Linked DNA regions of Drosophila melanogaster. The protein of the gene in region 1 interacts with the protein of each later gene in a pairwise test. Each region holds a gene or a part of one and is shown on either strand. Other genes may lie near its edges.

Region 1 (7,940 bases):
GCTGAGTCTGCAGCTGTGGCTGTGGCTGCTGGGTGTCCGAGTAATTTGGAGCGTAAAAAGAATTCGTATACACTACGCTGGCTGACGTGCTATCCATGGTTGGTAAAAAATATACGTAAAACTCCTCGTTGTGTGGCCTTTACTGCTGATCAAACACGAACCGATTCCTTTAAAAACTACTGAAATCTTTGATAACATCCAGACACTAGGAGTATAAAAATGAACTGAGTTCCGGATCTAAGTTTCTTTGATAGATTGTGTTGTAGCCTACTTGGCAGCCATATTTTTCCAATTCAATCAAATGGCAAGCCAATTTAATTTCATTACTTTTGACTCGAAAAAATGTTGGTGATGTGTTTATCCACATCAAAACAATATAATCCGAAGTATTAATAATATCATTGCTGCACACAAAAACCAACATATCAACCGTTTGTTGCCAATGAATATATTTAAAATAAAATCGACAGCGGCAGGATTAATTTAATTCAATAATGTGGAATTTACTGAGTGAAAATGTATTAATAGCCAAAGTAAAAATGCAATATGGACATCGAAATGGCTGGCACTTTTACGTCCACACCTTTCAAGGGATTTGACCTGGTTTTTCCATCCGTAGTCCATAGTTAAAAGCGCGAAGAACTATGCAAATTTCCGTGATTGGCGGCTAAAACTCTGGATGCCACTTTCGCAGCTCACTGATGACTTTGCACTTCGCTTGTCGTCGTCTTCGGAAAATTGATTCATAATTTCTGCACATTTTCACTTTAATCAGCAAACTTTGATTACATTTTCGCAGCGTGAGATGGCGCAGAAAAGTACCTGATATCAATTTAAAAGCTTCGAGTAGAACTCCCATAGGAATCTGAAACTTAAGTTCATATTTTTCGAAGACAAGACTCATCCATGGCCGGGCCAATCACGATGAATCAAGATGACTGGTACTCATCAAGCCAATTAGCTGCCAATTACCCCACTAATGAGCGACCACATTAACCCCACAAAGGATCCCGAATTGGAGGGCAGTCAAGAATAATGTCCTGCCAACGGAGCGTGGACTCTGAAGACATGTTTATTAATATCCCGAACCCGAACTCAAGGCCGGCCACCCTGATAAACGAAAGTGCCACGTTTGTCGCCAGCTCGGTTCGGGGGAAAAAAAAAGGAAACAACATTTTCACCAGCAATTGGCTTTTATGGCCGCCGCCTCTTTACGACCAAGTCCGCTGACCTTATCATCAGATTCCGGGTTCTCGGATCCGGTGTCCTGTACGGAAGCTCCTGTTTCATTAGCAGCCCCCGCTGCTGTGGTGTCCATTTCCAAGAAAGGAGGAGGGTCAGCATCTTCAACAGCAGCAGCTTTACTTCAGAGCGGCAAAGTTTTGCTTTAACCCGTCAAATATTTCCCCCGTTGAAATGAAGTAATGAAGCTGGGAACCGCCGACACGAAATTAAAAATCAACTGTCTTGAAGGGAAAACAACAGCGAAATGGAAACTGTTGCCGGGGAAAAGTTCCTATTCCGTTGGTGGAAAACTTTTTGTGCGCTCATAAAAATCGAGACAGGGCAAATTGTCTTCCAGTATAATTGCACAAAAGTTTGACTTTGAAGCTCGTCCGTAATTGAAAAGACAAAAGCGCAGCAAAGCAATTGGCCCGGAATATAAGCTGGTATATGTATGACTACGCTGCGTTCGGTTATTCTATGGTGTGGCCAAAAGGGATGACTCTTCATCAGCATCTCTCGGTGCACACGCACTGTGTGCAGCATTCATGTTGTCTTTCCTTCCATTTGCAGCAAAGGCGAAGTAGGAACAGCTAATGAATTGGCTGCCTGCTGGAGCAGAGTAAACACGCAGCACAGCTCAGCTCAGCTCAGCTCAGCAATCTACCTGAATAAACTGACACGAATCGGAAGGTGCAGGTGCGCATTGGGTATCGAAAACACCTATCCACCTACATATCTGCCAATGAAGTATGAAGTATCTGCATCCCGCACAAAGTCGAATTAATGGAGGGGGGCGTTGAAAATCAATATTCATAAAATGTAATACACATTTAATTGAGATGAATTGCACGCATTCAGCATAGGCTGCAATCCATTTTAATGGAATGAGTGCACTTAGGTATTTAACTGTATTATACTGCACTTCTACGGGGCACGGGGCTTTATAAGGATATAATACCCCAAGTCCATCAGCAGCAATTATAGCCATTTATACTCATAGATTTGGTTTTGTTAAGCATTTAACGCTGAAATAGTTTTAAACATGTATGTATTCAGCTGGGGTAATTCGTTTATTTCCAGGAAATAATATTGTTTTATCAAATCTCCCAGGTGAAGTTAAGGTCAGGACCGCAGGCCTCATAACATAGATGTGAATGGGAGTAGAAAACCCTGGAAGTTGAGCCACAGTGCCACAGTGCCACAGCATTTTGGGCTTATGCAGCTGCCACACATAGAGGCAAAATAACAAGCAATAAAATGTGTACGTGTCTAAATTTTAATATGGTTTCGGTACGTAGTGCGTACGCACATCCAGTTGAGATGGTATGTACATTCATTGCGGAGTGTGTGGGAATGTGTGTGTGTTTGCCAGTCCCTGTTTATTTGACTTGCTACTTATTTATTACGAAGCATAATGAAATTTCACGTAATCCTCATTAAAGCCAGAACAAAGGCACGGAGTTTGGGCAAACAACTTCAAGTCGCTGCTGCTGTGTACATTTGCACATTCAAATCTCAGTCATGACTCAATTTCAGCAATAAGAGCTGCTCCGAGGTGTAGATGAGCACCCCACTCGCCGGGACACAGATTATCGACTTTTGAGGCACGAGCAGACACACAAAAGCCAGTCAGACAGACGTCTCCATCGCCCACACGTCCAATACAAATAAATCAGACAAAGCATATAAATCTAAATTGTATCGCATTGTGGCGCATTTCACCTCACCTTCGTCTTCAGCTGCTTTATTGGCAAATTGGCGGGTTGAGGGATTGGCCTTTGTGTGCCAAACCTCCTGGCTTCCACTTGGAGCACCTGTATCGGGTACTCGGTATCGGTTCGATTGCCTGCCACGTTGATTTCCCATCGATTTTGGCAACAGCCCGCCCGCCACAAATGGTCATGCCATTCAGCCCTTTTTTTCTGCGGTTTCCATTCTGCTGACAGCGCAATTATCGGTGGAGTATATTGAGTGCTGAAATATCAGCCAATATAGCAATGCCAATTTTATATAAAAGTCACTTTAAACGATAACCAAATAGGTGTTTCTTCAACATACTAAGCATGTTTGAGTAAACTCCACGACTAGTTCAACAAATTGTTCCGGCTGATCCTCATACACACAGTGTCCAGCATCCAGAATCTGTACCACTGTATTTGGAAAGTATCTCTGCATCACGGCAATACTGGTCGTGGTCACGAATTCCGACTGGGAACCGGCTATGAGCAAGACTTCGCCCATGTAGGGACGCAGTCCGCCCAAAGTGGCCTCGTAATTGATCATCATCTCCCCCCAGGAGCTTAGGACCGCCTGGGGATTAACTGCCCAGCCAAAGGTGTTGTCCTGCATCTTGCGCAGATTGTAAATAATGCGACGCAGCTCGGAGGCGTCGTGGACCACATCCTGGAACAGTGGCAGGATGAACGTACGCCCCTCGGAAAGTGATAGATTTGAGGGAATACTGGGCGCCACCTGGAGCATCATCTCGAACACCTGCCGAGTGAGATAGAAGTTACTGGGCACCGGTGCTGGTGTGATGTCCACCAGTATGACCCGCTCGACGAGTTGCGGCTGAGTGAGTGCCAGTGTCATCATTGCCCGACCGCCCATTCCATGTCCAAGTGCAACGATCTTGTTCAGTCTCTGGTGGCTCATCAGGGCCTCCACGTCGGCGGCCAGGTGCATTGGCGAATGCCCGGTTATGTAAGGACTAAGGCCATGATTCCGAGCATCCACGGTGATCACCTGGCGCAATCCAACCTGACTGAGGTTAACAGCTACCTGGCGCCAGGATTCCAGTGACAGATTGAGGTCGTGCATCACCACAATTGGTGGCGCCTGCATCTGATTGCGCGGCGAGGTGTAGGAGACATACTCCAAACGAGTGCCCTGGACAAATGACTGGAAGTTTCGCAGCACTTGGGCTCCGCCTTTGGAAAGGATCGAGCCGAGAAGTCGCTGTCTTGCCATGGTTTCCGAAAATTTAGAATAGCTGTCAGTTCTGCAGGGAACTACATTAAAAGCTGGGTTTTCTTTTGTTATCCATGTAAAAATGATTTCTTTTTGCTAGAAATTCAGAGAAATCTCTACAATTTAAAAGTTCAAACGAAATCATGCTACATTTTAAAACTTGGCATACATTGATTTATTCAGTTTCTATTGACAGTTTAAAACGAATTCTATCGAATGTTACAAAGAATAAATCAAATCAATACTATCATAGTAGTTGTGTTGTTTTCAGTTTAAAAATATCGTAATGGCATACATCAATGCGGTTGTTATTCCTTGCCATTGCATAAAAGCAACACTTTTATTCTCATATTTATTTATTTCAGACAACATCTCGAGTTGTACCTTGGGATATTCCGTATACGCCCCGTAGCGTCCGTCGTCTCGGGACACAATGGTATTAGCCGTAATCCACTGGGGCTAATGCTTCGTTTAACGCTCCGGAGTCGGAGTCTAAGCGCTTTTATGTCGCTTACAATTGCGGCTGGCAGTGCAAATCCCCAAATTGCGTAATAAATAAAATGCATTTGCGTGGAAAATTAGGAAATGGCAGAAACAGCTCTACGAGAAGGGGGAGTAAATTCAAATTTCCACATTTTCATATTTTACATTTTTACATTTTCATAATGTGAGTGCGCTGAGTTTGCCATCACAGAGGGCATAAATCTTGGCGAGTGCTCAGACACAGAGACAAACAAATGGTCTGAGACATTTCTTGTTACTTGAATATTCTTTTTTTTTGGTGCACAAATCGTAAGATGAAGTTCGTTTGTTTTTGAAAACCAAGCCAACGGACGCCGTCTAATGGCTGGAATAGAAATGAATGCAAATTTTCAAACTATTTTTACCCGGAATCCCTCGCTTTTGAACTTCGATTTAGCCATTAAAGTGGGTACACTTCATGGCAGCTGTCTGTCTTACTGTTTGACAGTATCGAAGGCACTTCATATCCAATTTCAGGCTATTGACACAATGAAGCACCCTTGAGTAGTACTCCGCTGGCTTGGAAGAACATAAAACGAACTAAATAAATAAACTGGAAACCTCATTTGGAGCCATAAAAACGAACTTTCGAATGCAAACCCACAGTTGAAGTCGTGTTTTGCCCCTTTTCCAATCAGCCCCATTGAAAAGTTTAGCGACAATGAAATCCTCCGAATGCTGGATACGACCCCCCGGGGAATCAGACCTCCGAATTCCCATCAAAGGATTACCTCAGTCTGTCAGCGCATTCCATTCTAAGCCTTGGACGCTGTCCTGTTGCCACGCGGCTAAATACTTGCCCGAATTGGGGGAATGCCTTTCATCTCCATAGCATCAAAATCTTAGAGAGATTCCGATTGGGAGCAAAAAGCCGGCGTAATTATCCGCGCAGGTGCACTGAACCCTATTCAGCAGGAGAGCGGAATACGCAGCAGGACTCCCAGAGAGTCACTTATAAACAAAAACAAATGCATGCAACAGATTGGAGGAGACTAACGGCATAAATGCTATTTCGGTTGAATAACTTAAATAATAAATGATTTGACATTGAATACAACTAAGCAGAACATTTTTTAAATATATATAACCTTAGAGAATTTCTAATTAACAAAACTAAAAAACTTAAAATTTAAAAGAACTTTGTGACAGGTTTAAAAACCGAGTTGCTAACCGGTTATTTTCCGAAAACGGTTCGTGTCACGGCTGTCTCGAAAGCACTGTGTATAATATTCAAGACATCCACCAGCAGCACATAACCGTTTCGAGGGTTGGAGTAGTAACTAAGAATTCTCTTTGACATAAGTTAATAATATTCTAATATGCTAATATTAGGATTCTAATAATATTCTAATATTCTGGAATGCTTGTTCTCTTTGCCACAGTCAAGAACTGCACAGCTATTTTTGAATTTATACAATATGTTATTATGGTAAAAAATAAATTAAAAATTTGTATTCCTATACCAAAATATACGTAAACCGGTTATTTGAGCGTGCTAAGTATTAGTCTTAATCCAGTTCAATTCATTTGGTTAGCTATAGGTAACAATAGATTATTATCAAAAAATCTGCAAATTGGTTAAAAAAAAATAATTTTTTTATTCAGTACGATATGCCTGATCTAATCAGATTTGAAAGTCAGAACATCAGATTTCACCTCAACAACCCCCCAGCAAGGACGACCAATCGGATCGCACCAAACTGTTGCCAATCCAAAATGGCCTCTAAGCAGATGCTGCCATCCGCCGGGGAGGAAAATCCAATAAGCAAAATTCGGAACAGCACCGAGCTGACTTCGCAGCCCGTGAGGACAATCAGAATTTATTGCAACACAGTCTTCCAAGCAGAACAGACCCAAGGTCTTCCAATTGCAGTATCATCCAATACAATAGACAGTCATGCAGCATCCACATCCCATTGACCAGCCCACCTACATGCCGGATGTTCCATTCCAGCCGCTTTGGGGTCAGGAGGCTCCACCGCCGCCCATTGTTCCATACCAAGAGCTCATCGCCGGTTTTCCCTGCACCGACTTGTGTAAGTACCTCAAACGGAATTTGGAATTTGGAATGGAAGTGCTTAAGATGTTTTTCTATTCTAAAGCTCTGTGGCAGCGCTCGCAAGTAACTCCTTTGGTGCCCCAGCGTCCGTCGACAAATGGGAGGGCCAACGGCTCCTCCAGCTCCTCGAAGAAAACGCGTCGCCGTGTGGCATCAATGGCCCAACGGAGAGCTGCAAATATCCGCGAACGCCGTCGCATGTTTAACCTAAACGAGGCCTTCGACAAGTTGCGCCGCAAGGTGCCCACCTTCGCCTACGAGAAACGACTGTCCCGCATCGAAACCCTTCGCTTGGCCATCACCTACATCGGATTCATGGCTGAGCTGCTGAGCGGCACGCCCTCGAACTCCCACAAATCGCGGTCCGACGTCTATGGGAGTATGAATGGTCACCATCAGGCGCCACCACCGGCAATTCATCCACATCATCTGCATCCGGCGGCGGCATATCAACGCGATTTCGCTTCGCCCTATAATCATAGTTTGTCCTAGTGACATTTCTCAGGAAATCCAATATTCAAATAAATGCTAAAACTGCTTCTCGTCAGATCAGTTTTGTTAAAATATTGTAATTATAGGAATAGATAAATAATGTTTTCTTAAAACTTTATATATTGTTTAAAAAGCAATAGAAATATTAAAAAATATTAAAAAGAAAGAAATTTATTGTTTCAAATGTAATTTCTTTAAAAAGTGAATTATGACTGGTCACATGAACATCAAGAATTTATATTCATGGGAGCAATTAAATTAGCCAGAACATTGAATTTTTGCACTTAAATGGATACTGTAAAAAGATATTTTTTGTATTGCAGTTATTATTATTATTATTTGTGATAGAAAAGGAAAAGGAGAGGACAATTAAACAAAATCAGTGGATAATCCAATTTAGTTTTCGAAATGGTAAACAAAGTGATTGTCTAAACTGGGTGGTGACTTTAAAGCCAAAAGTACCACCGAAGTACACCTGATAATCCCCCTAAGTAGAACCCGCACTTGTTTTAAAAAAAAAAACCCAGCCAAAACCAAAGCGAACCATGTCGTGATTTGCGTGCGAATTTGTGCAGCTGGAAAGGCAACACATGCCCAGGTCCATTCGGTGGTCCCAATGAAGTCACATTGCATACAAATCACGAATGGAAAGAAAACTATTATACAAAAT
Region 2 (5,688 bases), on another chromosome or scaffold:
CCCAGGATGCACGCTTGCGGTGAGTTTGATCCTTTGGTCATCCCTAAGACCTAGTTTAACTAATAAACTATATCTTTTAGCCGCACAACAATATATACCAAACGCTAGGCATATTTTGTCCATCCGCACACATCGAGCATGTCGATATGCTGCGCACCGAAGATGTACTTATAGATTGGCAGAAGCCTATGTACCTGAACTTTACGCACATCGCCATTATGAATCGCCTGGATGACTTCTACTCGAAGTTCGGTGTGATGGAACGACTCAGTGGTGATATCTACGTGTGCAACAAGCTGAACGCCGACCTGGAACTGGAGCCGCTGCCGGAGGACGCCGAGATGCGTCTGCTCAATCTGGATAACGTGCAGGGCATACATGATCTATATCCTGCCAATGAAATCGAGTGCGTCCAGCTGTTTGACATCCTCGTGCGCAAGCTACCCGGCCTGGGCATCTTTCGCAAGGAAACCGGAGAGCTAGCCGCCTGGATGGTCCATTCATACTACGGTGCCATGTTCTCAATGCAAACACGTCCAGACTTCAGGCGCATGGGGTGAGTAGAGCTACAGATTCCTTCTGTAAACTGCTCATTTACTGATCAAACAATGCATTTATTTTCGCACAGCTATGGAATCCGTCTGGCCAAGTCGCTGACCCAACTGGTGATCGAGCGCGGCTACACGCCCTTCGTGGTGATACGTCCTGGTAACGATGCGTCCCGCAGTCTGTACACGAAGCTGGGCTACGAGAAGGCATTCGAGACGTGCCGAGTGCGGATGACACCGGACTGCTACGAGGACAGCACCGTGGGCACCATTAGCAACACGTCCTACGGAAAGTTTCCGCCGCTGCCGCAGGGCGACTGCGTGGTGGTGACCAAGTTGCGGCGCAAGCATGTGCCCGGCGAGAGCCAGACGGTGGACGAGGGCATCGAGGATATGTTGGCTGAAAAATGTGATATCAGCGGCGACGAGGCGAGGGAGCGCAAGACCACGACCGACGAGGGCATCGGGGAGGACAAGTAGGCCAGGTTGGGTTAGGGATACGAGATGCGAGTTGAATGAGATTAGAGATCGATCGGAGCGCTACGCCCACGCAGAACTTATGCTTAAAGCTGTAAGCACCCATTAGGACTCTTTAGGACAGACAGGACATGGCACACATCAGGTGGCGTTGATTTTTTAAACAATTATATTAACGAGAAAACCAAGAAATTGTACGAGTATATTTATAGATGGTATATGAAGCTTCCTCAAACAGAAAAAAGCGGCGGCGTCGATTGGTGAATGCGGATATTTCGGCCAGAATAATCAAGGGATTTATTTTATATGGGTATTGATTAGGATTCGGTGACAAGAACTAAACCTTAACCAGGGGAATTTAAACGATCAAGTGAGGCGCTGAAGTCAGACATTTTAAATGGGGAATCGAGGACAAAGAGAGAACATTTTTAATTTTTTGCTAAAAATGCTTTTACAAAAGTGAGCTCCAAGAACGAGCAGAGAACAAAAGCCGAGTGGGGTGGCTCAATGCAAATGCAAATCAAGGAGCGCATCAATTTATTAAAACTATTATATATATTAACTCTATATATCAAATTGTTAAACGAACTAAACAAGCAACATACACCAACTACTTCTCTCTACTGGCTCGCCACGCAAAATCTCTGAACAGGATAATCTCGAATAATCTCGAAACAACCGAAAACCGAAAAACACACGAAAATCTCTCGCTTGGGCCATGGAACAGAGCTATGCACAATTTCCTCTATTTAAAGAAGCCGTTTCAGAATACTACATATATATATTTTTCAAACTATATTGAATACTTTCGATGACCCAAACGAAGTGCTTTGATTTTAAATGGTCGCGTACCAACCAAACATATTTGGATTTATAGGCTTTTTTCAAATTTATATATATACATATAAACCCAAAACCCCATGAAGGGAATACGAAACGAAGCGAAAACCAAACAAAAATACAAAATAAATATATATTTTACTATTACGAAATTTTATTAAACTACGCAAACGAGTACTCAATGATTTTGCTCCTATTTAGCTGAACTAAAAAGAAACAAACGAAATAAAAAACACGCCAAAGATGTCTTCTGCTTCATTTTAAGTACATAGCCCCCAAACCCGATTCCAAATTACCAATTCCTGATTCCCACTGGCCCCTTGGATGATTTTCGATGAGAATCTGGATCATCTTTGGTGGCTTTCGATTACGAAAATGCAAAAACCGAATCTCAATATGTATGCAAGAAAATCAAATTAAATGAAAAGTTATATATTACAAACTGCTATATTGTATGTACTCGAACTAAAAAACGAATGAGAAAAAAAAAAACAAACACAAAAACCTAAAAGAAGCAAATTTAAATAAATAACAATATTGAGACAGCACACTGAAGGTTCTTTCCGTCTCTGACGAAAAAGATAACGATTGCGATGGCAACTAAACGCAGATAGCTGAAGGTAAAGATAGTTTTTGCTCTAGAAATATTTTCTTGAGTATTTACGATACTTCCCACATTCATTTGCAAACAAAACAGAAGCTCTTGCTAAAGTCCAGCATTAAAAATATTAATTGTTTGCATAATTTACAAGCTCACTTTAGCCGCCGACTGGCCTCAGCTGGCGCAGACACTGCGCTAAAATTATCTGCTCATTGTTAATGAAATTTACGTGTGCAAACACAACAGCTCACTTAGATAAACAGAGTCGGACGGATGCGCGGCAAAGATGAAGACAGCCGCCCATCAGGGCATGTGGCAATGTGTAGTATGTGACTGGGGTTTTGCAACATTCTTGGCGCTCAGCTCACTTGACGGTAAATTAAATTTTATTTATGTATAAAGAAGAAGGCCTAAGTACGTCGTATGTGGCTTAAAACTAAGCAATAATGGATTTGTAACCTGGACAACTGCTGCTACTTCTGTTCGACCGTGCTTAGCTGGTTCTTCAGATGGTTGGCCACATACTGCCAGTACTTGCGACGAATCACATCGTGTTTGGTGGCCATGTCCTCGCACAGACCGTACACCTTGCGGGCGAGTTGATCGCTATCGCTGGCCTTTAGTTGGAGCGCCTGCTCCTGGTAGAGATCGATGAGGAAGGCCAGCAGGTAGGGCGATCGATTGCCAGCCTGGTAGAGCTCCTCCACAAAGTCCACGACATCCGGGTAGCTGCTCAGCAGGGCATTTCCACTGTCGCCCTGCCGCATCACGCCCACCAAATAGTTCCAGGCACTCTCGTTGTTTTTGATGATGCGAATGCGATTCATCGTGTACGACAGTTCGCGCTGGATCAGCTCCGGCGTGAATCCAAAATGCTTGATCACAAAGAAGCGCTGGTTCCAGGCCGAATTGTTGCGCTGATCCTCGCTAATGAGACGATCCACAAAGCTAAGTTCATCGTCATAGAGACTAAAAGTAGTGGACATTAATTTATAGAAAGTAAATCTTAATAAACATACGACTACTCACTTAAAGCTGCGAATGGCCCACTGGCGATGTTGCCAGGCGTGGTAGTTCTTGGCATCGCCATCGTTGACCAGGGCGTTCTCAGTAAGCTCCAGCTCGTTGCTGGGATCGTTCAGCATCTCGACGATGACGCGACGGTGGTGCCAAACCTGGTAGTTTTTCGAGTTCTGGCCAATCACCTCGGTCAGATAGTCCAGTTCCGCATACAGATCAGCCTTTAGTTCGCGCAGAACGTCGCGTCTGTATTGCCAGACCGTGTAGTTAGCCGGATTCAGACGCAGTGCGTCCGTGGTTAGGTCCAAGGCACGTTGGCTCTTCTCCCCCCGCGCAATTATGGCCCTCATGTAGTCGAAGACCTCGCGAACTACGATGTACGGAGATATTTGCTCAGATAAAGTGACATCCAGAGATAAAGCCGCATGCATTACTCACACTTTTGACTGTAAGCAATGGACACCACCGGATTGGGACCGTCGTCCTGGGCGAGCGGTTGCACATCTTCCCAGTCGGAGCGTTCGCTGTAAGCCAGCCAGTCCGTGCCCAGATATTCCTCATCTGAACTGTCTCCCATCGCGGTTAGTTAAAAACAAAACTGTTGAGCGCGGGTGCGGGCGGAATTTTATGTTGTTCTTTTTTGTCCGAATTTATCGGGCCTATCGATATCGGGGGCGTTTTATTGTCCGAACCTATCGGTGTCGATTTCTCGATAGCAGAAGGCGGTATTTAATACTAAACTAGAAATACCAGCGGCTTTTGAAATATTATTTGAAATTCAAAAATAATAAATACAAAGGTTTTACAATTATTTTGTTTAAACATTTATTAAGAGTTCAATAAAAGTGCACAAAGTGACTGATTTCTTTAAAACTAGACGTAGACATCCGAGTGCTCATTTTACCATAATATTCGTTTCATTGGTATACGAGTAATTCTAGAAACGAGGCTTAAACGTGGCCGGATACTGATTAAAGCGCGGACGCAGTGCAGCTTTTGACTTCTCGAACTTCTCCCCCGAGTGGCCAAGGATCACACCATCGACCAGCTTGCCAGGATGGTCAGCAGCATTGGATCGCTCCGCATTGGCTTCGGCCACATCGATGATCCGCGGATTCTTGCGGTACCTGTACCACCAGTACTCAAAGACCAGCGTGATGCAGGCCATTCCAATGCCCACGAATATGACAATGAAGACGCCGCCAATGTTCTGGATCGAGATGCCATCCGATTGATCCTCCGGCTTATCGCACTTGGCCAGAGCTTCGTCGTTCTTCCACCACTTCTCCTTGAGCTTCTCCAGCTGTCGTTTGTTGAGCAGGGTCAGGATTCTAAAGCACCACAACGATATGAAGAAGCTCACATCTATATTTTCCCATTACTCACGCATTATTAAACTGATCCTTGAGATGCGATCCCTGCTGAACAGCTATGGCATAGGGTTTCCGGGAGAACTCCTCGCCCACCACCTGCAAATCACAGTTGGTCAACTGCAGGTAGCGTATATCGGTGGCATCGCCCAGAAAGGCAAAACCCGTGGCAGCTGTCGAATTTCTAACCCGGGCCACCGCTTCGTCGAGGGTGGCCGGTAGCTTCGCCTCCTGCATGGCCTGCCACATCTTGGTATACTTGTCGCTCACTGGATAATCCCAAACAGCCAGCTTGGAGCGCTCCACGGCGGTCAGGGAGTCGTTCAGCGACAGATCCTTCCAAATCTCGTAAAACATCTGCTCTATGTTGGACATACGCTCGAAATATGTCATCGCAGATGAGCCATTCAATGGAGCGTATAGGATCTTGTACTGCTTCGCCAGGTCATCCAAGCTTTCAACGGGCGTATCCAAACGTGATACGGTCAAGAAGGCAGCCAAATTGGCCGTGTACGAAGCAATAATGATAAAACTTAAGGGAAGAACAAAAAAACTCTTTTAAAAAGGAAAGAGTTTACAAGCAAATGAAGAGCAACTACCCACCCGAATAGCCACCAGGTGGCGGCCACTAAACGGCCAGACAGATTCTTTGGAGCCTCGCCACCGCCTTGAGGTGTCAATGAAGTCATGCAGAACCAGAGGCACTCCTTCAGATTGAACTCGCGCTTCTCCTCGTCGTCCTTGTACTTCTCTCGATTGTTCTGATAGCTATAGGGACTCCAGCGATCGAAGATCCACATGAGAAAGCTGGTAAAGAAGTAGGCAGCCAGGA

What was found.
Region 2: the proteins of CG14717 (region 1) and Fnta interact in a two-hybrid assay, tested with the Drosophila melanogaster proteins (one large-scale study listed by BioGRID).

Annotation. Positions count from the first base shown.
Region 1 is NT_033777.3:11,692,903-11,700,842, reverse strand, and holds CG14717 (uncharacterized protein), read right to left. Parts: upstream 4,335-7,940; 5' UTR 4,198-4,334; coding exon 3,277-4,197; 3' UTR 2,516-3,276; downstream 1-2,515. Other genes in the region: CG14718 (uncharacterized protein), read right to left, coding at 1-97; Fer3 (48 related 3), read left to right, coding at 6,617-6,755, 6,822-7,270.
Region 2 is NT_033779.5:4,826,545-4,832,232, forward strand, and holds Fnta (farnesyl transferase alpha subunit), read right to left. Parts: upstream 4,150-5,688; 5' UTR 4,064-4,149; coding exon 3,925-4,063; intron 3,857-3,924; coding exon 3,496-3,856; exon of another isoform or gene 3,436-3,495; coding exon 2,940-3,435; 3' UTR 2,670-2,939; downstream 1-2,669. Other genes in the region: CG15628 (uncharacterized protein), read left to right, coding at 1-19, 81-556, 629-1,028; Ir25a (ionotropic receptor 25a), read right to left, coding at 4,424-4,817, 4,873-5,388, 5,460-5,688.